4 linked regions of the Saccharomyces cerevisiae S288C genome follow. The protein of the gene in region 1 interacts with the protein of each later gene in a biochemical or structural test. Each region holds a gene or a part of one and is shown in the gene's direction. Other genes may lie near its edges.

Region 1 (6,277 bases):
ACAATTATTCATCCTTAGTAGATTGTGCTGAAGGGGTCCTTATGCAAGTGGATGATGAGGGAGATACCGAGGGTAGTGAAGCAAAGAATTTTTCCAAGCCCTTCCAATCGGGAGATGATGAAGAAAATAAAGAAACTGTAACAAATAATGAAAATGTAAATAATACTAATGATCGGGATGAAGATATGGAACTAACAGATGATGTTGAAGAAGATGCAAGTACAGAGCCAGAATTAACAGATAAGCCAGAGGCGTTAGATAAAATTAAGGATAGCTTGACTTCCACTCCGTTTGCGATTCTTTCTATGAATGATATTATTGTTTGTGAGTGGAGCGAATTGGGTTCAAATGAGGCATTTTCCGATGATAAAATATATAACTGGGAAAATCCAGCTACTTTGCCTAACAAAGAGTTGGAGAACGCTAAGTTGGAAAGATCTAACGCTAAGGAAAGAACCATAACCTTGGACGATTGTCTCCAATTATTTTCCAAACCAGAAATACTAGGATTAACCGATTCGTGGTACTGCCCTACATGCAAGGAACATCGTCAGGCTACCAAACAAATACAACTTTGGAATACACCAGATATTCTGCTAATTCACCTTAAAAGGTTTGAAAGTCAAAGGTCTTTTAGCGATAAAATTGATGCCACGGTTAATTTCCCCATTACAGATTTGGATCTGTCGAGGTACGTTGTCTATAAAGATGATCCCAGAGGTTTAATCTATGACCTGTATGCAGTAGATAACCACTATGGTGGTTTGGGTGGTGGGCACTATACCGCGTACGTAAAGAATTTTGCCGACAATAAATGGTACTATTTTGATGATTCTCGAGTAACTGAAACTGCGCCAGAAAATAGTATAGCTGGATCGGCTTATTTGCTATTTTACATTCGCCGTCATAAAGATGGCAATGGATTAGGCAGCTCTAAACTACAGGAAATAATCCAAAAGTCACGCCACGGATATGATGAGCGTATCAAAAAGATATACGATGAACAGATGAAGTTGTATGAATTTAATAAGACTGACGAGGAGGAAGATGTTTCTGATGATATGATAGAATGTAATGAAGATGTGCAGGCCCCTGAATATAGTAATCGTAGTTTGGAGGTTGGGCATATTGAAACTCAGGACTGCAACGACGAAGATGACAATGATGATGGTGAGAGGACAAATTCAGGTAGGAGAAAGTTAAGATTGTTGAAAAAAGTCTACAAGAATAATTCAGGCTTGGGTTCATCGAGTACGTCTGAAATATCTGAGGGATGCCCAGAAAACGAAGTCGCTGATTTGAATTTAAAAAATGGTGTGACACTAGAATCGCCAGAATAATGACATGAGTTTATATGATAGATAAAATTAATAAATTTCCACATGTATAATACTTTTCAATCTTTTTCGCCTACTATTTACTGCCTAGGCTAATAAATTATATGTTTTTGTCCTGGGCGCGACATTCCAAAAAAAAAATAAAAAAGAAGAGAAAATACTGGCTTATGAATACAAAAATTACATAAACGAAGCAAAATGATTATTTCGAATAAAACAGTCTATATATAAGTCAAATACAAGATAGGAAGAAAAACAGAAAAAAACAAAACAGAAGGACTGGTTAATTGTTTTTGTTGATCTTCTTCTTACCACTAGCACTTCCACGTTTGTAAACCTCAATATAGAAAGAGATGAACAAAAACAAGTAGGATGTAAGAATGGCTGCACCAGCAGCAATAGCCGTCATTGAACCTAAGCAATCCTCACACTGTGGAGTACAAGCATTTTTGAAATATGCAGCAACAATCTTCTGATAAAGCACGTAATAAACGACAATGAGATCAAGCATGAACTGCACAATTTGTAGTCTTGTAACCCAGGCTTTCCACCAAACACGAATTCCGCTAGCAGAAAGGAAATAATACCAATACATAAGAACGTGAACAGCTAAGTTTAAGGTGACAGGAACCCATGTAACTGCTGTGTAACCAACCAATTGATTATAGCACAGTAAAGCTGTAGCACCATGATGGTATGTATGTAGGAAAGTCAACTTTCTATGTTTCAACACCATCAAGACAGTGTCTGCGAACTCCACAAACTTTGTCATATAGTTGAGATAATATAATGTCTCCATCGGTTGCGTCCACGATTCAACATTACAAACAGCAAAATACAGCCCATGGCGATACACTATGGGTAGCATCTGTTCCACCATCAAAATCAACCATAAAAAGGAAACAGAAGTCAACATCAAGTTATGGACTTGAGAAATAAATCTCAACTTGAGAGGTTTACATGACTTTACCAGGGACCTCCCGCCAAATATAACCACATAATACATGGCAATAAAAAGCAGTACCGGACGAGGTTCACTCAAAGGCTGCTTCCCAACGGTAAACTCAAAATCCTTTGGCTGGAAGCGACCTGCAGTGGCCCACCCAACCGCACGATTGAAATAGTCCCACAAATAAATATTAAAAAAAGGCCTATCTATTGTTGGGCGAAACCTAGAGGCTTTCTCGAGGCAAAAATTTTTCCAATCACTTACCATACTTGCTTGCAAATTTAGCTCTCAAGTTCCTTAAAATTGATAAGGTATCCTACCTTAATATTCATATCAGTTAGTCTTATATACTTCTACCTCTTTTTCTGGCTTCCTTTCTTTCCCTTATGTCCTTCGGTTTACTAATCCGTAAAGCCGACGCGGGTAAGCCAAGACCCTGAGTTTAGAACTAATATTTCGTCACGTCACGTAAGTGCAAGGTAATAAAAGCAGCAGAAATATCTGTAGTTTCAACAAAATATGTCTGGCTTGCGATTTGTTGTGTTTTGAAACTAGTTGCTAGTCTGCATTCCTTTGTTTTCCCTGAATTACCCAAAGAAGAAAGCGACGCGAGGCCTCACGCGTCGGAGTTTCCAGATCAGGAAATTACCCACTTAGGAAATTGAGTTGGCTGGCAGAAAAGATATAACGCCATCTTGAAAAATAGTATTAGTTAGTCTATTTTTTCATTTATATAGTAGAGGTATATTCTCTGGAAGAACAATTTTGGAATATTCAGAACACTGCGCTGCACTATTTTCATCAATAGTACCATATACGTTCATGTCAGCTATACCAATAACTCCAACTAAGCGTATCAGAAGAAATCTATTTGACGATGCTCCAGCAACGCCTCCACGACCTTTGAAAAGAAAAAAGTTGCAGTTCACAGATGTTACACCAGAATCATCCCCAGAAAAACTGCAGTTTGGCTCACAGTCTATTTTTTTGAGGACAAAGGCACTTTTGCAGAAGTCATCTGAGCTAGTCAACTTGAATAGCAGCGATGGTGCATTGCCAGCAAGAACAGCAGAGTACGAACAAGTTATGAATTTTTTGGCGAAGGCAATTTCTGAACACAGGTCCGATTCACTGTACATCACGGGTCCGCCTGGCACTGGCAAGACTGCCCAGCTTGATATGATTATAAGACAGAAGTTCCAGTCCCTCCCATTGTCGCTCTCCACGCCACGCTCGAAGGACGTGCTGAGACATACGAATCCGAACTTGCAGAATTTGTCCTGGTTTGAATTGCCCGATGGAAGGCTAGAATCCGTGGCGGTAACCAGTATTAATTGTATATCGTTGGGAGAGCCGTCCTCCATTTTCCAGAAGATTTTCGATTCCTTCCAAGATCTGAATGGCCCAACATTGCAAATAAAAAACATGCAGCATCTACAGAAGTTCTTAGAGCCTTATCATAAGAAAACTACGTTTGTGGTTGTGTTGGACGAGATGGACAGGCTATTGCATGCTAACACGAGCGAGACACAATCAGTTAGAACTATTCTTGAATTATTCCTTTTGGCGAAATTGCCTACTGTGAGTTTTGTGTTAATCGGTATGGCTAATAGTCTAGATATGAAAGATAGGTTTCTTTCCAGGTTAAATTTGGACAGAGGGTTGTTACCGCAAACTATAGTTTTTCAGCCATACACTGCTGAGCAAATGTATGAAATCGTCATTCAAAAAATGAGTAGTCTGCCCACTATTATCTTCCAACCGATGGCCATCAAATTCGCAGCAAAGAAGTGTGCTGGAAATACGGGTGACCTTCGAAAACTTTTTGATGTCTTAAGGGGAAGTATCGAAATCTATGAGTTAGAAAAGCGGTTTCTGCTTTCACCAACAAGAGGATCATTGAACTCTGCGCAAGTTCCTTTGACGCCAACTACTTCTCCGGTAAAGAAATCGTATCCAGAACCACAAGGTAAAATAGGCTTGAACTACATAGCCAAGGTCTTCTCAAAATTCGTGAACAATAATTCTACGAGAACGAGGATAGCCAAACTAAACATCCAGCAAAAATTAATTCTTTGCACCATAATTCAATCACTGAAGCTAAATTCCGATGCTACAATCGACGAATCGTTTGATCATTATATCAAAGCGATAACAAAAACTGATACTTTAGCACCATTGCAGAGAAATGAATTTTTGGAAATCTGTACAATTTTAGAAACTTGTGGGCTGGTTTCAATCAAAAAGACAAAGTGTAAAGGGAAAACCAAGAGATTTGTTGATAAGATTGATGTTGATCTCGACATGCGAGAATTTTATGATGAGATGACCAAAATTTCAATTTTGAAACCTTTCCTTCACTAGTCAGCTAATAGATTTATTTTTTCTTTTTTTTTTACAGTTCCACTTGCATCCCTCATTTTTCACATTCCTTTTTTTATAGAAAAGCATATCACTATATAAAAATTCTATTATAGTTGTAACAGCATAGCATATTATAGACTTTTTTTTTCTGGAAACGGTTAAACCGTTTGGCTGAGATGCAATGATATACGCAACATTGCATTCAAAGAAATTGCAAAAAAGACACAATAAAACGTAATTTGTACAAATATTTTACTATCATTAGCTACTGGATGCAGAATGGATGATTGTTAGGGGGAGGTGGGGTACAATTGTTTGTTTTTGATACATTTTCTCTTTCAAATCGCAACCAATTCACTCTGCTAATGTGATAACAATGGCGCCTGTCGGAAAGGTGAAAAAAAAAAAATGCAAACAAATAAATTGGCACGGTGTGACATATGCCTTCTATAATAATGAAGGAACTCGAAGAAAAAGGGGAAAACGATGTTTCAACAGCTGTCGGCATCCATTAGGCACAATGCACACATAATTTTTTTATGCATAAGTTGGTATTTTATTTCATCGTTGGCATCTCAGGTAACGAAGCAGGTACTAACGGTTTGCCCATTACCACTTTTTTTGGGTGAGTTTCAGTTCATTTATACTGCTGTGCTAGCATGGTTTACGTGTTATATTGCATATAGTTTCCCAGGATTCTATCGCATATTTCCTAATGGTACTTTTCCGGAATATTATATCGACGACAGAGAAACTAGCCGTGCAGCTAGGAAAGAATCAAAACTATCCTCCCTCATTATACCGCCCTCTAAACCAATCCTGCAAACAGTTCTACCTTTAGGTCTTTTCCAATTTGTAGGGAAATATTTTGGGCATACAGCTACCTCTTTGGTGCCTGTTTCCACGGTTGCAAGTATAAAAACGCTATCCCCCATGTTTATCCTTTTGCTCCAAAAGATTTTGAAAATATCCACTTTGAAAATTACTTTAACTCTTATCTTTAGTTTATGCACTTTAGTTCTTGGAGTTTGGATTATAGTTCAAGAAGATAATCGTTCACCGGCCTCTTCCAATGAGCTGAGAGAATTCTCTAAATACGGCGTAATATGCGCTATGATATCAATGTTCATTTTTGTCTTGCAAAATATATATGGCAAGACCGTGTTCACGTACAGATCTCAAACAGATGAATCTCAAAGTAATTCTGGATTCTCACGGCAAGAATCACCTTTACCCTTATATGAAAAGTTGGATGAGAAACTTGTTGCGAAAAAGAAACCTAAATCATATGACAAATTGACTTTAATGATTTATATTTCCCTTGTTGGATTTTGTTTATCGTTTGGCTGGTTTATCACTCTAGAATTTCCTGTACTATTTAGGTATTTTTTTCAAATTAACAGCTCTTCTACAGTAATAAAAGCTTTTCCAGTCTCTTTATTTTTACTGAACGGGACATTCCACTTCATTCAGGCAATGATTACATTTCATTTACTGGGTGAGGTCTCAACTTTAACATATTCAATAGCGAATCTGATGAAGCGCTTTGCCATTATTGCGGTTAGTTGGGTCTTTATTGGAAGAAGAATTACTTGGCTGCAAGTGTTCGGTTTGGTTCTGAACACAT
Region 2 (7,380 bases), on another chromosome or scaffold:
AGCAAAGAAAATTTTAGATGAAGATCATTATGGTATGGTAGATGTCAAGGATCGTATCTTGGAGTTTATTGCCGTCGGTAAACTATTGGGTAAAGTCGATGGTAAAATCATATGTTTCGTAGGACCCCCAGGTGTTGGTAAAACGTCCATAGGTAAATCTATCGCTAGAGCTCTTAACAGGAAATTCTTCCGATTTTCTGTAGGCGGTATGACGGACGTGGCAGAAATAAAAGGTCATAGGAGAACGTATATTGGTGCCTTACCTGGCAGAGTAGTTCAAGCATTAAAGAAGTGCCAAACTCAAAATCCTTTGATTTTGATAGATGAAATCGATAAGATTGGACACGGCGGCATACACGGCGATCCGTCCGCGGCATTGTTAGAAGTATTGGACCCTGAACAAAACAACAGCTTCTTGGATAACTACTTGGATATTCCTATTGACTTATCAAAAGTGCTTTTCGTTTGCACTGCTAACTCTTTGGAAACTATTCCAAGACCTTTACTGGATCGTATGGAAGTCATTGAGTTGACAGGATATGTTGCTGAAGACAAGGTTAAGATTGCCGAGCAGTATTTAGTTCCAAGTGCCAAGAAAAGCGCTGGTCTAGAAAACTCTCATGTTGATATGACAGAAGATGCAATAACAGCGTTAATGAAGTACTACTGTAGAGAAAGTGGTGTAAGGAATTTGAAAAAACACATCGAGAAAATATACCGTAAAGCAGCCCTACAAGTGGTAAAGAAGTTGAGTATTGAAGATTCCCCAACGTCATCAGCCGACAGCAAGCCTAAAGAAAGCGTTTCTTCCGAAGAAAAGGCGGAAAATAACGCCAAAAGCTCATCGGAGAAGACTAAGGACAATAATTCGGAAAAGACAAGCGATGACATTGAAGCCTTAAAGACCTCTGAAAAGATCAATGTTTCCATATCCCAGAAAAACCTAAAAGATTACGTTGGGCCTCCAGTCTACACTACAGACCGGTTATACGAAACAACTCCACCAGGGGTAGTTATGGGGTTGGCGTGGACTAATATGGGAGGTTGCTCACTTTATGTAGAATCTGTCCTTGAACAACCTTTACACAACTGCAAGCATCCAACATTTGAAAGGACCGGGCAACTGGGAGATGTTATGAAGGAATCATCAAGGCTTGCTTATTCATTCGCCAAGATGTATTTAGCACAAAAATTCCCTGAGAACAGATTTTTTGAAAAGGCGTCTATCCACTTGCATTGTCCTGAAGGTGCTACCCCTAAAGATGGTCCATCTGCAGGTGTCACTATGGCCACTTCCTTCCTTTCCCTAGCATTGAATAAGTCGATTGACCCAACGGTTGCGATGACCGGTGAATTGACACTTACCGGTAAAGTTTTACGTATCGGTGGGTTGAGAGAAAAAGCTGTGGCCGCTAAAAGATCTGGTGCCAAGACTATTATTTTCCCTAAAGATAACTTAAATGATTGGGAGGAACTTCCAGACAATGTAAAGGAAGGGTTGGAACCTTTAGCTGCTGATTGGTATAATGATATATTCCAAAAATTATTCAAGGATGTGAATACGAAAGAAGGTAATTCAGTATGGAAGGCTGAATTTGAGATTTTGGATGCTAAAAAGGAAAAGGACTAACTTTTCATCTAAATGGATTAAATACCTGTTTAAACATTCTGTAAATATTTAAACATAAACATCAATTTTATTACACAATACTAAATTCTTTCTTTTCTTCGTGAAGTATGTATGTGGGAAACCCAAGATGGCGGAATCGCGTGTAATATTATTTATCATATGCCTTTTTTAGGAAATCTAATTACTTACCGAAGAAAATAGGACAACGAAAAATTTCGAGAAACGAAACCAGAAAGTAAATGGTGAATATCCTATAATCTACACATTTTGGTACAGTTTACTTAATAATACTCCACACACCTCTTTGCCTCTTTTCTAAGAAGTATAACACAACTACAATATAAGTGATGTCTGATAATAGAAGACGTAGACGTGAGGAAGATGATTCGGACTCAGAAAATGAGCTACCGCCATCCTCACCTCAGCAACATTTTAGAGGGGGGATGAACCCAGTTTCATCACCTATTGGTTCTCCAGATATGATTAACCCTGAAGGTGACGATAATGAAGTTGACGATGTACCAGATATTGATGAAGTTGAAGAACAAATGAACGAAGTAGATTTGATGGACGATAATATGTATGAGGATTATGCGGCTGATCATAATAGAGATAGATATGATCCAGATCAAGTTGACGACAGGGAACAACAAGAACTATCTTTAAGCGAACGTCGCCGCATTGATGCTCAACTAAATGAAAGAGATAGGCTATTGAGAAATGTTGCCTACATAGATGACGAGGACGAAGAACAAGAAGGTGCAGCGCAACTTGATGAAATGGGCCTTCCTGTGCAAAGACGAAGAAGGAGAAGGCAGTATGAGGACTTAGAGAATAGTGATGACGATCTATTGAGTGACATGGACATTGACCCATTAAGAGAAGAACTTACTTTAGAATCTCTGAGTAACGTTAAGGCTAACAGTTACTCGGAATGGATAACACAACCTAATGTCTCAAGAACTATTGCCAGAGAGTTAAAATCATTCCTGCTGGAATATACAGATGAAACGGGTCGTTCTGTATATGGTGCACGTATTAGAACATTAGGTGAAATGAATTCTGAATCTTTGGAGGTTAATTATAGACACTTAGCGGAGTCCAAAGCCATCCTGGCACTATTTTTAGCTAAATGTCCAGAAGAAATGTTGAAAATATTCGATCTCGTGGCTATGGAGGCAACAGAATTGCATTACCCAGATTATGCCCGTATTCACTCCGAAATTCACGTAAGAATCTCTGATTTTCCAACAATATACAGTTTACGTGAATTGCGTGAGTCTAATTTGTCCTCTCTAGTACGCGTCACTGGGGTGGTGACAAGAAGAACAGGAGTCTTCCCTCAATTAAAATATGTCAAATTCAATTGTTTGAAATGTGGCTCCATTTTGGGCCCATTTTTTCAAGATTCTAATGAAGAAATTAGAATCTCATTCTGTACAAACTGCAAATCAAAAGGTCCCTTTAGAGTCAATGGAGAAAAAACTGTGTACCGAAATTATCAAAGGGTTACGCTCCAGGAAGCTCCCGGAACCGTTCCTCCAGGCCGTCTACCAAGACATAGAGAAGTCATTTTGTTGGCGGATTTGGTAGATGTATCCAAGCCAGGTGAAGAGGTAGAAGTTACCGGCATCTACAAAAATAACTACGATGGTAACTTGAATGCAAAGAACGGATTCCCCGTTTTTGCAACAATTATCGAGGCAAATTCTATAAAAAGAAGAGAGGGCAATACAGCTAACGAAGGCGAAGAAGGGTTGGATGTTTTCAGTTGGACTGAAGAAGAAGAACGTGAATTTAGAAAGATTTCTAGGGATCGTGGTATAATTGATAAAATTATATCATCGATGGCACCGTCTATCTATGGTCATAGAGATATTAAAACTGCAGTCGCGTGCTCATTATTTGGAGGTGTTCCAAAAAACGTCAATGGAAAACATTCTATTCGTGGTGATATCAATGTGTTATTATTAGGTGATCCAGGTACTGCCAAATCTCAAATCTTAAAATACGTCGAGAAAACAGCGCATAGAGCGGTCTTTGCAACTGGTCAGGGTGCTTCGGCTGTCGGTCTGACAGCATCCGTCAGAAAAGATCCTATTACTAAAGAATGGACCTTAGAAGGGGGGGCGCTAGTATTGGCTGATAAGGGTGTTTGTTTAATTGATGAATTCGATAAGATGAACGATCAGGATCGTACATCTATTCATGAGGCTATGGAACAGCAAAGTATTTCCATTTCCAAGGCCGGTATTGTTACTACATTACAAGCGCGCTGCTCAATTATTGCTGCGGCAAATCCTAATGGTGGTAGATATAATTCAACCTTGCCTTTAGCTCAGAATGTTAGTTTGACCGAGCCTATTCTGTCTAGATTTGATATTTTATGTGTTGTCAGAGACCTTGTTGATGAAGAGGCAGACGAAAGATTGGCCACATTTGTTGTCGATTCTCATGTAAGATCTCATCCAGAAAACGATGAAGATCGAGAAGGCGAAGAGCTTAAAAATAATGGCGAATCGGCGATAGAACAAGGAGAAGATGAAATAAATGAGCAGCTTAATGCAAGGCAAAGAAGACTTCAAAGACAAAGGAAGAAGGAGGAAGAGATCTCGCCTATTCCACAGGAATTATTGATGAAATATATTCACTATGCGAGGACAAAAATATACCCTAAATTGCATCAGATGGATATGGATAAGGTTAGCAGGGTATATGCGGATTTGAGAAGAGAAAGTATTTCTACAGGTTCGTTTCCAATCACAGTTCGTCATTTAGAATCTATTCTAAGAATTGCAGAATCTTTTGCTAAAATGAGATTATCTGAATTTGTGTCTTCTTATGATTTGGATAGAGCTATCAAAGTTGTAGTTGATTCCTTTGTTGATGCCCAAAAAGTCAGTGTTCGCCGCCAACTCCGCAGGTCTTTCGCAATTTATACCTTGGGTCACTAAAACTTTGTTATTCCTACGAATATCTGGATATGAAGATAAAAAATTCTCTGTCTCAATCCATGTATTGGCAATCCTATTTTCAATATACAAGTTTCCTTTATTTTTTGTATAATTTTTATACACTGTATCTTTAATTTCAATTCAACTAAATACTCAAGATCTAGTCAAAAGTGCATTATTTACTATCCAAAAAAAAAAAAAAAAATGAAGTAAAAAAGAAGTAACAAGACCGAATAAAAAAGGCTCATTACTGAAGTATTATATTCTTATTTTTGCCTTTTAATAATATACATTTACTTTACAGTGGAGGGGATAAGAAACATGATAACTATCAATTAGCAGCGCTAGGAGCTTCAGTAGAGGTTCCGGTAGTAGTTTCTGCGGGAGATTCAGTCGTTTCTTTTTCTTTTTCTTTTTCTTCAGCGCTTGGAGTAGCCTTGGCATTCGCATCAATACCAAAGATCCTATATAATAGCTCATGAGTATCTTCTTTACAAACCATCAAATTGATACACTTGTTGCCTTTCCACACAGGCAAGAATAAGTTTTCTTTGGCAGGGTCATTTCTTGACACATCAATAAAGGCGCAACCAGAGCTTAATTTTGTCATCTTTTCAACAAAATCATTATCGATGTTCTTCGAACGAATGTCGTCAAAGTTAGGGAAAGATTCGATTAACAAGTGTTTTAACATCTCTAAATTAGCTTCAACAATTCTATTAGATTTCATATGGTGTTTCATTATTGGCAATGATTCACTTTGGATTCTCCATGAACATTCGATATCACTTCTTTGAGAGACAAACAATTTTACACCAGAATAAATAATCTTCAACCTATCGTCATTCGCTTGAATAACATCCTTCAATGCTGGACACACAGTGTAAACCACTCTTGTTGGTTCACCAGTGGCGTTACGCACTAAACAAGTGTTTCTGTCGAAAATATTATCGATGCCGTAGAAATCCCAACAAACTTTTAAAGCTTCGTGCTGTGGATCAACGAAAACAAAAGGCTCTTCGTTCGCGTCACGTGGTAGTCTTTCTTTCTTTTGGACTTCTTCTACCTTTATTTTCTTTGTTTGAGGTCCTTCAGACTCTAGAGCTGGGGTTTCAGAAGATAGTTTCTCTGTAGCCGCCTCAGTGCTATCTTCGACTTTTTCGAAAACAGTAATGAAAAATCCGCCTGTGTTTTGTTGGTGAGGATAAACCCTCATACAATTTTGTAAATTGAATTTCGATGCCTCTTCTTCAGATGGTGAAAAGAAACTATCTAGTGTACCTTCGTCTCCTTTGGTTTTCTCAGTCAAATTTCTGTCATAGACAGGCCATTTGGATACACCCTTGGATCTTATTAGGCCAGGAAGCTTATCATCACAGTTAACTAATCTAATCTTGTCACCCCACTTTCTTAACGCTTCGGCAACAACCGCTTCATTTTCAATAGGATTTAAAGAACAGGTTGAGTAAACCAATCTACCGTTGTTCTTTAGAAGATGCAAACCCCTGTTTAATATATTCAGCTGAACAGCATGCAAACCAAGACCTGCTTGTGTGTTCCAGTCTTTCCAAACATTAACATTTTTCCTCATGGTACCATCACCAGAACATGGAACGTCACACAGGATTCTGTCAAATTTTAAAACATCATTCTTGTTATTTGAGTTGCCATGTAATCTGATACGTGGGAAGAATTGGGCGTCATGGTTGACAACCATCAAGTTGGCACTGTTCAATCTCTTCAATTGGTGAACCAACATATGAGATCTTCTGGCATCGGCATCATTAGCTACAACGAAACCAGATGGTTCATCTGTATCCTTGTGCAAGGCTTCGATTAATTGAGCAGTTTTGGAGCCAGGAGCAGCACACATATCTAAAACAGTGTGATGAGGTTTTACTTCTAGAACGATTGGAGGAATCATTGAAACGGCTTCTTGTCTTGAGATATTACCAACGGCATTTTCAACAACTAAAAATCTCTGAGTTTTTGCGAATTGTTCATTCTTTCTAATAACCGTCTTAGGAACGTCCAATTGCCAAGCAAGATGGTCTGGATACCAAGGTAATTCTACAGGGGCCTTAATCTTCTCACCTTCAAACTCAACATTAGTCAAGTTTGGTAGATGTCTTTCTTTAAACAAATTCAGGACCTCACCGGCATGCTTTCTAGAACCTGTAATTCTAAAAGTTAGAGGAAGTGGAGCTTGACATGTCTTTTTAAATTCTTCCCATTGATCTTCTGGGAAAAGAGCTAAAGTCTTATAGTATTTTTCCCATTTTTCATTTTCCTTTACCAGTTCAGACCAGTTTTTTTGAGCTCTCGAGTCATCACGAGCACCAAAAGTCTTCTTGTTCCCTTTTTTGAAATTCTTTCTTCTAGCCATCCTTATAGTGTATTCTTCGGATTACAGTGTAGATAAAAGGAAGTGTTAGAACTAGTATAAGTAATATGTTTTTAACTATAGTAGGTGATTTGACGTCTTTGGAAGAACTCAGCGCTAAATTTTTCAAAGTGAAAAAAAGCTACAGAAGAGGACAAAAAAAAAGTACGTCATTTAATACGTAAGTGGGTACACTAAATGAGCGTAAGTGATACTATATTCTATAAGAAGTAATAAATACTGCTTTTGGCATAATTGAAATGCATCTACTTCTTCTCGCTAATTAAGTTTGAAAATTCAGTGCAAATTAATCTCTTCCAAAAGATATGCGCGCGGTTTCGTTACTTCAGCACCGCAAGGGATCAGCCGGACCTCTAGACTTGCCATAATTACTTCACTACTTCCTAATCGCT
Region 3 (6,066 bases), on another chromosome or scaffold:
TTGGTTGAGTGAGTAATATTAAAATTGCAACGTTGTTGGGTTTTATAGCTATGCTGCCAGATATGCCAGACTGTATGTATGTTATTGAAGTGCTACCTGTTTGAAAGATTCCATTGTTGGATACTATTAAACTGAAATGCTTTTGTTGGATTTCTTCCAGCGCCTGCAATTCAATTTTTGGTTCTTTAACATTACCGCTGTCACTGCTCATTTCTATGTCATCCAATGCTTCTATATCTGAATCATCTAAGGTTTCTGGGTTTTTATCAATGTCAAAAAGACTACCTATTAGTGTGTTATACTTTTGAGGGAAGCCGTCTGACAGTTCAGAACGTTCTTGCAAAATGTATTTTAATACTGGTTTAAAATTTATCGGACTTGAGATTGGATAACAAAATTGAGGCATTTGACCAATATTCGAATCGTGATATCTGAGCATCATCATTGATGGTTCTAGCTTTGGCCCTACACAAGGTCTCACCCAAGTTTCATCCTCGGTATTTTGATAAAAAAGCTCAGGTTCATTCCACTCACGTGTGGTGCTTGAATCAATTAATAAATTGGGGGAAACTCGGAATGACTTATGATTCAACCAATCTTGCAGCTCAAGTTTGCCAAAATCCGACGGGCGACGAATATAATGTTCATACCTGTCTAAACCATGAGTTCGCAAACCTAGCATACCTAATTGACACCGTACTACTTTAATTAGACCCAGAAACGAAACGGAATGTGAAGCGATTTCTTCTCTTCTTCCAATTCTTTTGCAGAGCCCATCTCTGGCAAAGGGCCATTTGTTGGAAATCACTCTAACATGGCTTCTGTTTCCCGATAATATGCGGGTAATGCCTCGCACTTCCTTTGGTTTTGAATTTATGCTATTCTCTTTCTTTGCACATCTAACTTGAAGTGATTAGTACCAGATTGAGCTCAGCTTCTCAAAATTATTTCGAACATATCAATTTAGTTTGTAAGTCATAAAAATCGATATTTTTTGCTTTTTCCTTTTTTCCTAAATCTTCTTGACTGCTTGCAATCTTTGTATCTTCATCTTTCCTTTCTCATGTTTCCAAATTTAGCCTGTATATTCATAGAGACTTCTTAAAGTAAATTTTGGCAGGATAATAGGGTACTGAAATCTATGTTGCTTTTTATATCCTGGCGCTACTTAGCCGCCCAACCTTTTTGTCTTCTTGTCTTTTTTTCTTTTTGGCTTTATTTCTCATCAGATCACGCACCACGGAATGAAAATTTTTTTGCGGAAATCAGCATCGCTAAAGAAAAGCAGAAATAGAAGCAGAAGAGATAGATATAACTACAGAGTTAGAGAAGATCAGTAGACCAATAAGCGGGATTATCATAAAACTCGAGTTTATATTAGCTTTCATCTGTCTTTAGGAAAATAATACCATAATAAAAAGGACACATCATGGCTCCACCAAAGAAAACCGTAAAGAAGATGGACCTTACGTCATTTTTAAATGATGACACCTTTGGTTCATCTTGGGCTGAAGAAGATGTCGATTTGAATAAGATCACAATTCCTATTGAAACCGCTAATGCAAACACTATTCCATTGTCCGAATTGGCTCATGCTAAAAACAACAGCAATAACACGCGTTCAGGCGGCTTTGGTGGCAGTTTTGGAGGTAGATCTAGATTAGACCCTGCTTTGGGGGGCGGTTCTTCCGATAGAAGAGAGGAATACCCTGTTCCAGATGCTCCACCATATAGGGCTGTCATAAACAACATTCCATGGGATATTACCCCAGAGGGTGTTCAAGCCTGGGTTGAAGATGGTTTAGTTAAGCCTGAAGCGGTTGAAGAAGTTGTTTTGCCAAAGAATCTAAGAGACCCAACAAGATTAAAGGGTAATGCTTTCGTTACTTTGAAAGAAAGAGCAGATTTGGTCGCCGTTCTGAAGTTCAACGGTACTAAATTGAATGAGAGAACTGTTTACGTTTCTGTTGCGGCTCCAAGAAGAGGGGGAGGTGCAGATGTTGATTGGAGTAGTGCTAGAGGCTCCAATTTCCAAGGTGATGGAAGAGAAGATGCACCAGATCTTGATTGGGGTGCCGCTAGAGGTTCTAACTTCAGAGGTCCAAGAAGAGAAAGAGAAGAAGTTGATATTGACTGGACTGCTGCAAGAGGTTCCAATTTCCAAGGCTCTTCCAGACCACCAAGAAGAGAAAGAGAAGAAGTTGATATCGACTGGAGCGCTGCAAGAGGCTCCAATTTCCAAGGCTCTTCCAGACCACCAAGAAGAGAAAGAGAAGAGCCAGATATTGACTGGAGTGCAGCTAGAGGCTCTAACTTTCAAAGCTCCTCGAGGCCACCAAGAAGAGAAAGAGAAGAGCCAGATATTGACTGGAGTGCAGCCAGAGGTTCCAACTTCCAAAGCTCCTCAAGACCACCAAGAAGAGAAAGAGAAAAGGAAGAACCAGCTTTGGATTGGGGTGCTGCCAGAGGTGCTCAGTTTGGTAAGCCTCAACAAACCAAAAATACCTACAAGGATAGGTCTCTAACTAACAAAAAGACTACTGATGAGCAACCAAAAATCCAGAAGTCTGTTTATGATGTTTTACGTACTGAAGATGATGATGAAGATGAAGAGGCTGAAAAGCAAAATGGAGACGCAAAAGAAAACAAAGTTGATGCGGCAGTTGAAAAGCTACAGGATAAAACTGCTCAATTGACTGTTGAAGATGGTGACAATTGGGAAGTTGTTGGTAAGAAATAGAGTGTTGTATGATGATAAAATGTACATTTGTATTTACTGTTTGCTTTTTTTCTTTCTTGTTTTTCTACTCTCCTTTCTACCAGGTATTCTAACTCTATTATATAATTAAAAAAAAAATAACCATATATTTTGTATTAAGTTTCATACATGTGTTCAAGTGTATTTTTGGATTTATCATTTTTCTATGTGAGGTAAGTTTTTGAATGTCCCATTTTCCTTTCGTTTTTGGAAAGTTCTAAGAAAAAGCATTAACAATTAAAAAAAAAAAAAAAATCTAAATAATACTGATAGAAATATCAAATATAAACTACTAATATCGGTAATATTCAAAAGAAGAAGCATGACTATAAGCGAAGCTCGTCTATCACCGCAAGTCAATCTTCTCCCAATAAAGAGGCACTCAAACGAAGAGGTAGAGGAGACTGCAGCGATTCTAAAAAAGCGTACTATAGATAATGAAAAGTGTAAAGACAGCGACCCTGGTTTTGGTTCCCTTCAAAGAAGGTTACTGCAGCAACTTTATGGCACACTTCCTACGGACGAAAAGATAATCTTCACATATTTACAAGATTGTCAACAAGAGATCGATAGAATCATTAAACAATCCATTATTCAGAAAGAGAGTCATTCAGTAATTCTCGTGGGGCCCAGACAAAGTTACAAAACATACTTATTAGACTATGAACTGTCTTTGTTGCAACAATCTTATAAAGAGCAGTTTATAACTATCAGGTTGAATGGGTTTATTCACTCCGAACAAACAGCTATTAACGGTATAGCAACTCAATTGGAACAGCAGTTGCAGAAAATTCATGGCAGTGAAGAAAAAATTGACGATACTTCATTAGAGACTATTAGCAGTGGTTCTTTGACAGAAGTGTTTGAGAAAATTCTTTTACTCTTAGATTCGACCACGAAGACAAGAAATGAAGATAGTGGTGAGGTTGACAGAGAGAGTATAACAAAGATAACAGTTGTTTTTATATTCGATGAAATTGATACATTTGCTGGGCCTGTGAGGCAAACTTTATTATACAATCTTTTTGACATGGTAGAACATTCTCGGGTACCTGTTTGCATTTTTGGCTGCACAACGAAATTAAATATCTTGGAATATTTAGAAAAGAGGGTAAAGAGTAGATTTTCTCAAAGAGTGATTTATATGCCGCAAATACAGAATCTAGACGATATGGTTGACGCCGTCAGAAATTTACTTACAGTTCGCTCTGAAATCTCCCCCTGGGTTTCACAATGGAATGAAACGTTGGAAAAAGAACTATCCGACCCTCGATCGAATTTGAATAGACATATTAGGATGAATTTCGAAACCTTTAGGTCATTACCTACATTGAAAAATAGCATAATTCCATTAGTAGCGACATCCAAAAATTTTGGTTCACTCTGCACTGCCATAAAATCGTGTTCTTTTCTTGACATATACAATAAGAACCAACTATCTAATAATTTAACAGGAAGGCTCCAATCTTTATCCGATTTAGAGTTAGCCATTTTGATCTCAGCCGCTAGGGTTGCCTTAAGGGCGAAAGACGGATCTTTTAATTTTAATTTAGCTTATGCAGAGTATGAAAAGATGATTAAAGCTATCAACTCCAGAATTCCCACCGTGGCTCCTACTACAAATGTGGGAACAGGTCAAAGTACTTTTTCTATCGACAATACTATCAAACTATGGTTGAAAAAGGACGTCAAGAACGTTTGGGAAAATTTAGTGCAACTGGATTTTTTTACCGAGAAATCAGCCGTTGGTTTGAGAGATAATGCGACCGCAGCATTTTACGCTAGCAATTATCAATTTCAGGGCACCATGATCCCGTTTGACTTGAGAAGTTACCAGATGCAGATCATTCTTCAGGAATTAAGAAGAATTATCCCCAAATCTAATATGTACTACTCCTGGACACAACTGTGAATCTTGGGAACAATATACAGACATTTTATTGGCGGTAGCAACTCTGATATTCCACTGTTCAGCTTTCCTAATAAGTAAGTTCAAGATTATGTGGTCATCGCGTCGAACGGAAATACACCCATACACCAAACCTCTGTGAATTTGAAAAATTCACATATGCATTTAATAGAGCATAGGCAATGTAGAGAGAGAAATTAACAATGGTGAAAAGAAATATTACCAAACACCAGCAAAAGAAATTGTATAGTATTAGCAGTACATTCGTGGTCAAGCAGAATAACAGTAAAATAATATGAGTGATAATGGTTCCCCCGCGGTTCTTCCAAAAACCGAATTTAATAAATACAAAATCGGCAAAGTGAAGAGTACACCAGCCATCCAGCGAGATGCGAAGACTAACTTAACATACATCAAACTAAGAAAAAGAAGTAGTGAGAAAGTTTACGGGTGTACAGTTTTCCAGAATCATTATCGTGAGGATGAAAAATTAGGACAAGGAACATTTGGTGAGGTTTATAAGGGAATTCATTTAGAGACTCAAAGACAAGTGGCAATGAAAAAAATTATAGTTAGCGTTGAAAAAGATCTGTTTCCTATAACTGCACAACGAGAAATTACTATTTTAAAGCGTTTAAACCACAAAAATATTATTAAACTAATCGAAATGGTGTATGACCATTCACCGGATATTACAAATGCGGCATCCAGCAACCTACATAAGTCATTCTACATGATCCTGCCGTATATGGTAGCAGATCTGTCGGGCGTTTTGCATAATCCGAGAATCAACTTAGAGATGTGCGATATAAAGAATATGATGCTACAAATATTAGAAGGCCTAAATTATATTCATTGTGCAAAATTCATGCATAGGGATATAAAGACAGCAAATATTTTGATTGACCACAACGGTGTTTTAAAGCTTGCTGATTTTGGTTTAGCAAGATTATATTATGGCTGTCCTCCAAACTTAAAGTATCCTGGTGGTGCAGGTTCCGGCGCCAAATATACATCAGTAGTCGTAACGAGATGGTATAGAGCACCTGAGTTGGTGCTTGGTGATAAACAGTATACAACAGCTGTTGATATATGGGGTGTCGGATGCGTTTTCGCAGAATTTTTTGAGAAAAAACCTATTTTACAGGGAAAAACGGATATTGATCAGGGACATGTTATTTTCAAACTACTTGGTACACCGACAGAAGAAGATTGGGCCGTGGCTAGATATTTGCCAGGTGCTGAACTAACAACAACTAATTACAAGCCAACGTTGAGGGAAAGATTTGGTAAATATCTAAGTGAAACAGGTCTAGATTTTTTAGGACAGTTGTTAGCGTTAGATCCTTACAAGAGGTTGACCGCTATGTCTGCTAAACACCATCCTTGGTTTAAAGAG
Region 4 (3,872 bases), on another chromosome or scaffold:
AACTGAAATTTTTTTCTGTACATGGGGAAACAGTTGGCAAAAAAGTACTCCTTTTCTTCGTCCAGATCATGTGCACTATTTGTTTGGTAGTTTGCTGTGGAAGGTATTGTAACGTCCGTAGACATCAAAGAGAAGTTGTTATCTATCGGCACAGTTCTTGTGTTCGAGGCATTATCCAGGATTTTCCAGTTCGCGTGGTCGTCATAGTTGGGCTCGAGTAAGCTGCTTGAGTAATTCTCCTTAGTGGTGTGTTCTTCTTGATCACGGGTGGTGCCAGTCGTGAGTGGGTGGTCCGACCCTACCTCTGTATTCGCATTATGCATCTTCGAAGCCACAATATGGAAGAGTTCGAGCAGTGATGATTTCTCCTTAACTGTAGGGTCTGATAGTGTCTTGTTATCAGCTTCTAGCCCAGCAGTGGAGGAAGAGCGCGATGGCGTTAGCGATAGTGATGATGATGATGGTGAAGTCTTTACTATAGCGGGGAGCTCATCGCTTTCGCTTTCGCCCTGTCCGGTAGTACTTCTGAAGAAGTCAATCTGACGAGCCAAATCTCGCAGCGGCTTGATGGCTGAAAGTAGTCGAACATTTTCTCGCTGACAGATGGGACACGCAGTTTGCTTGTTCGAAGTTTCCCTGCATAAATCATTGAATAGCGATTCAGATATACAGCAGCCACACGTAAGCACAGAGCAGTCTTTGACTATACCGTATTGCACATGTGATTCGTCAGTACCAGTTGCACCATCGAGTGATAGCCGTTGCGGTAGATAGAGGTCGTGTTCTATATCGTCGAGCACCCTCGCTATATCCGTCTGGCGGCCCCACTTTTGTCTATGAGAGTGCATGAACGCCTATCAGTTGTGTATTTCGTACCTATGTATGTGTGAGTGTGCGTGTGCTAAATTTTACGGGTATCTTTTCAGTGCTGATAAGGTAATCATTGATGACTACTGTAATGGTAATGTTAATAAGACGAATAACTCCTCCGCTTGAAAAAGGTGTGAAAATCAAAAGTGCGCCTCATGAAATAATGATAAAGGAATCTTTATATAGCAAAGTAATCAACAAAAACGACTCTCGGTAGCCAAGTTGGTTTAAGGCGCAAGACTGTAATTTACCACTACGAAATCTTGAGATCGGGCGTTCGACTCGCCCCCGGGAGATATTTTTTTCTGAAATTTTTTTGGCTTTATTTTTTCATTAATACACCTGTGTTAGTTATGATTGCCACTAGCTTATATACGTGACTTCTGTGACTTCTGTGACTACTGATGTGTTTTTAGTAGAATACAACTGTTTTTTTCTGTAATGCGTTTTCACATATTGGCACCAGAAAGTGTCGTTACTTTATAAAGCAAGCGACTAGAACAACAATCACACACACACACACACACACACACACACACACACACACACACACACACACACACACACACAAGCTATGAGCCTGATAACGTGAGTCATTCGTTTTTTAGCCGATAGTAGAGATATGCATTTGAAGGCCATTGCTATTGTGTCAATCAAGAAAGCTGTATCACTTTCAACGGGGAATGTACTTTTAGCACCATAAGTTTTTCTTCACTTGGTTCAAAGGTAAACAAATTGAAATTGAAACAATAATGTACCAAATATTTCCGATTCGTTCGAGGTATAATACGAAACAATTGCACAGAGGCTGGGACTACAAAGTACGCTTATAAAAAAAAAAAAAAAATGCGTAGGAGTGTATACCTCGACAACACGATCGAGTTCCTGCGAGGCAGAGTATATCTCGGTGCATATGATTACACGCCGGAAGATACTGATGAGCTGGTGTTTTTTACCGTGGAGGACGCAATCTTTTACAACAGTTTCCATTTGGATTTCGGTCCCATGAACATTGGACATCTATATCGTTTTGCCGTTATTTTCCATGAAATCTTGAATGACCCAGAAAATGCCAATAAAGCCGTTGTTTTCTATTCATCTGCATCGACCAGACAACGTGCTAACGCCGCATGTATGCTTTGCTGTTATATGATCCTCGTTCAGGCATGGACTCCGCATCAAGTGCTTCAGCCGTTGGCGCAAGTAGACCCTCCCTTCATGCCATTTAGAGATGCCGGTTATTCTAATGCGGATTTCGAAATCACAATTCAAGATGTGGTTTATGGCGTTTGGAGGGCTAAGGAAAAAGGCCTTATTGATTTGCATTCCTTCAATTTGGAGAGTTACGAGAAATACGAACACGTGGAGTTTGGAGACTTCAATGTACTCACCCCAGATTTTATTGCATTTGCGTCACCACAAGAGGACCATCCAAAGGGCTATCTCGCTACCAAATCTTCACATTTGAACCAGCCGTTTAAGTCAGTTCTGAATTTTTTCGCCAACAATAACGTCCAATTAGTGGTAAGGTTGAATTCTCATTTATATAATAAAAAGCATTTTGAAGACATTGGCATTCAACATTTGGATCTAATTTTCGAAGATGGTACATGTCCTGATCTTTCCATTGTAAAAAACTTTGTTGGTGCTGCTGAAACGATAATTAAAAGGGGAGGTAAAATTGCTGTGCACTGTAAGGCTGGGCTAGGTAGAACTGGTTGTTTAATTGGTGCTCACTTAATATACACGTATGGATTTACCGCTAACGAGTGTATTGGCTTCTTAAGGTTTATAAGGCCGGGAATGGTCGTTGGCCCTCAACAGCATTGGTTATATTTACACCAGAATGATTTTAGAGAATGGAAGTACACAACCAGAATTTCTTTGAAGCCTAGTGAGGCCATTGGCGGCTTATATCCCTTAATAAGTTTAGAAGAATACCGCTTACAAAAAAAGAAACTTAAAGACGACAAGAGGGTTGCGCAAAATAACATTGAAGGTGAATTAAGAGATTTAACCATGACGCCGCCATCCAACGGTCATGGGGCGCTTAGTGCCAGAAATTCGAGCCAACCTTCTACGGCGAATAATGGAAGTAATTCATTCAAGAGCTCAGCCGTCCCACAGACTTCGCCTGGTCAGCCGAGAAAGGGCCAAAACGGTTCTAATACTATAGAAGATATCAACAATAATCGTAATCCAACTTCCCATGCGAATAGGAAGGTAGTAATAGAAAGCAACAACTCAGATGACGAATCCATGCAGGATACCAACGGCACAAGTAATCATTATCCCAAAGTTTCGCGCAAGAAAAATGATATCTCCTCTGCTTCATCGTCCCGAATGGAAGATAACGAACCCAGCGCAACGAACATCAATAATGCCGCAGATGATACCATACTAAGACAACTATTGCCCAAGAATAGGAGAGTAACGTCAGGGAGAAGGACTACAAGCGCCGCCGGTGGTATAAGAAAAATAAGTGGCTCCATCAAGAAATAATTTATTTCATTTTTATATATATATATATCATATAATAAAAAAACTTACTAATAATAACCTTGAAAAGTTTTATGCCATTTTTCCAGTGTCCCTTCTCGCTGTCTTTTCGAAAGAGTCATATGTATACCGGCAATAGTAACTTGCCTGATTTATGCATAATGCCGTTGTATTTGCTAGCCAGTTTTCCACCGCTGTCTGTGGGTTGCGACCATGCTACCTGGTACCTAGGAATAACTTCACCGTAAACAATATTTTCTCTTGCAACGTCAATCAATTTGGTTGCGATACCCAACTTCCTTGCTGTCCTGCACACCCAAATTCTCGATATGCCAATCTTAAAATCGGGGTACACATTCTGTACCAATCTTCTAGAATCATAAACCATCCAACGTCCACGACTAGATGTTTTACCATTGCCCCCATAAAGGTTCTCTATAATTATTATTCCGACCGCCCTGTCATTTCTTATGTATACAAACGCTTTGCCTTTTTCTTCTGTG

What was found.
Region 2: the proteins of CDC6 (region 1) and MCM2 form a complex in vitro, tested with the Saccharomyces cerevisiae proteins (3 studies listed by BioGRID).
Region 3: the proteins of CDC6 (region 1) and ORC4 form a complex in vitro, tested with the Saccharomyces cerevisiae proteins (3 studies listed by BioGRID).
Region 4: of the proteins of CDC6 (region 1) and CDC14, one has a biochemical effect on the other in vitro, tested with the Saccharomyces cerevisiae proteins (3 studies listed by BioGRID).

Annotation. Positions count from the first base shown.
Region 1 is NC_001142.9:66,230-72,506, forward strand, and holds CDC6 (AAA family ATPase CDC6), read left to right. Parts: upstream 1-3,108; coding exon 3,109-4,650; downstream 4,651-6,277. Other genes in the region: putative ubiquitin-specific protease UBP12, read left to right, coding at 1-1,340; fatty acid elongase ELO1, read right to left, coding at 1,621-2,553; YJL193W (uncharacterized protein), read left to right, coding at 5,137-6,277. UniProt on the Saccharomyces cerevisiae protein: Plays a crucial role in forming the pre-replicative complexes.
Region 2 is NC_001134.8:172,124-179,503, reverse strand, and holds MCM2 (MCM DNA helicase complex subunit MCM2), read left to right. Parts: upstream 1-1,977; coding exon 1,978-4,584; downstream 4,585-7,380. Other genes in the region: ATP-dependent Lon protease PIM1, read left to right, coding at 1-1,630; NCL1 (tRNA (cytosine-C5-)-methyltransferase), read right to left, coding at 4,916-6,970. UniProt on the Saccharomyces cerevisiae protein: Acts as a component of the MCM2-7 complex (MCM complex) which is the putative replicative helicase essential for 'once per cell cycle' DNA replication initiation and elongation in eukaryotic cells.
Region 3 is NC_001148.4:865,319-871,384, reverse strand, and holds ORC4 (origin recognition complex subunit 4), read left to right. Parts: upstream 1-3,080; coding exon 3,081-4,670; downstream 4,671-6,066. Other genes in the region: MMS1 (Mms1p), read right to left, coding at 1-682; TIF3 (Tif3p), read left to right, coding at 1,430-2,740; cyclin-dependent serine/threonine protein kinase SGV1, read left to right, coding at 4,963-6,066. UniProt on the Saccharomyces cerevisiae protein: Component of the origin recognition complex (ORC) that binds origins of replication. It has a role in both chromosomal replication and mating type transcriptional silencing. Binds to the ARS consensus sequence (ACS) of origins of replication.
Region 4 is NC_001138.5:207,913-211,784, reverse strand, and holds CDC14 (phosphoprotein phosphatase CDC14), read left to right. Parts: upstream 1-1,716; coding exon 1,717-3,372; downstream 3,373-3,872. Other genes in the region: PTR3 (Ptr3p), read right to left, coding at 1-848; ECO1 (Eco1p), read right to left, coding at 3,488-3,872. UniProt on the Saccharomyces cerevisiae protein: Protein phosphatase which antagonizes mitotic cyclin-dependent kinase CDC28, the inactivation of which is essential for exit from mitosis. To access its substrates, is released from nucleolar sequestration during mitosis.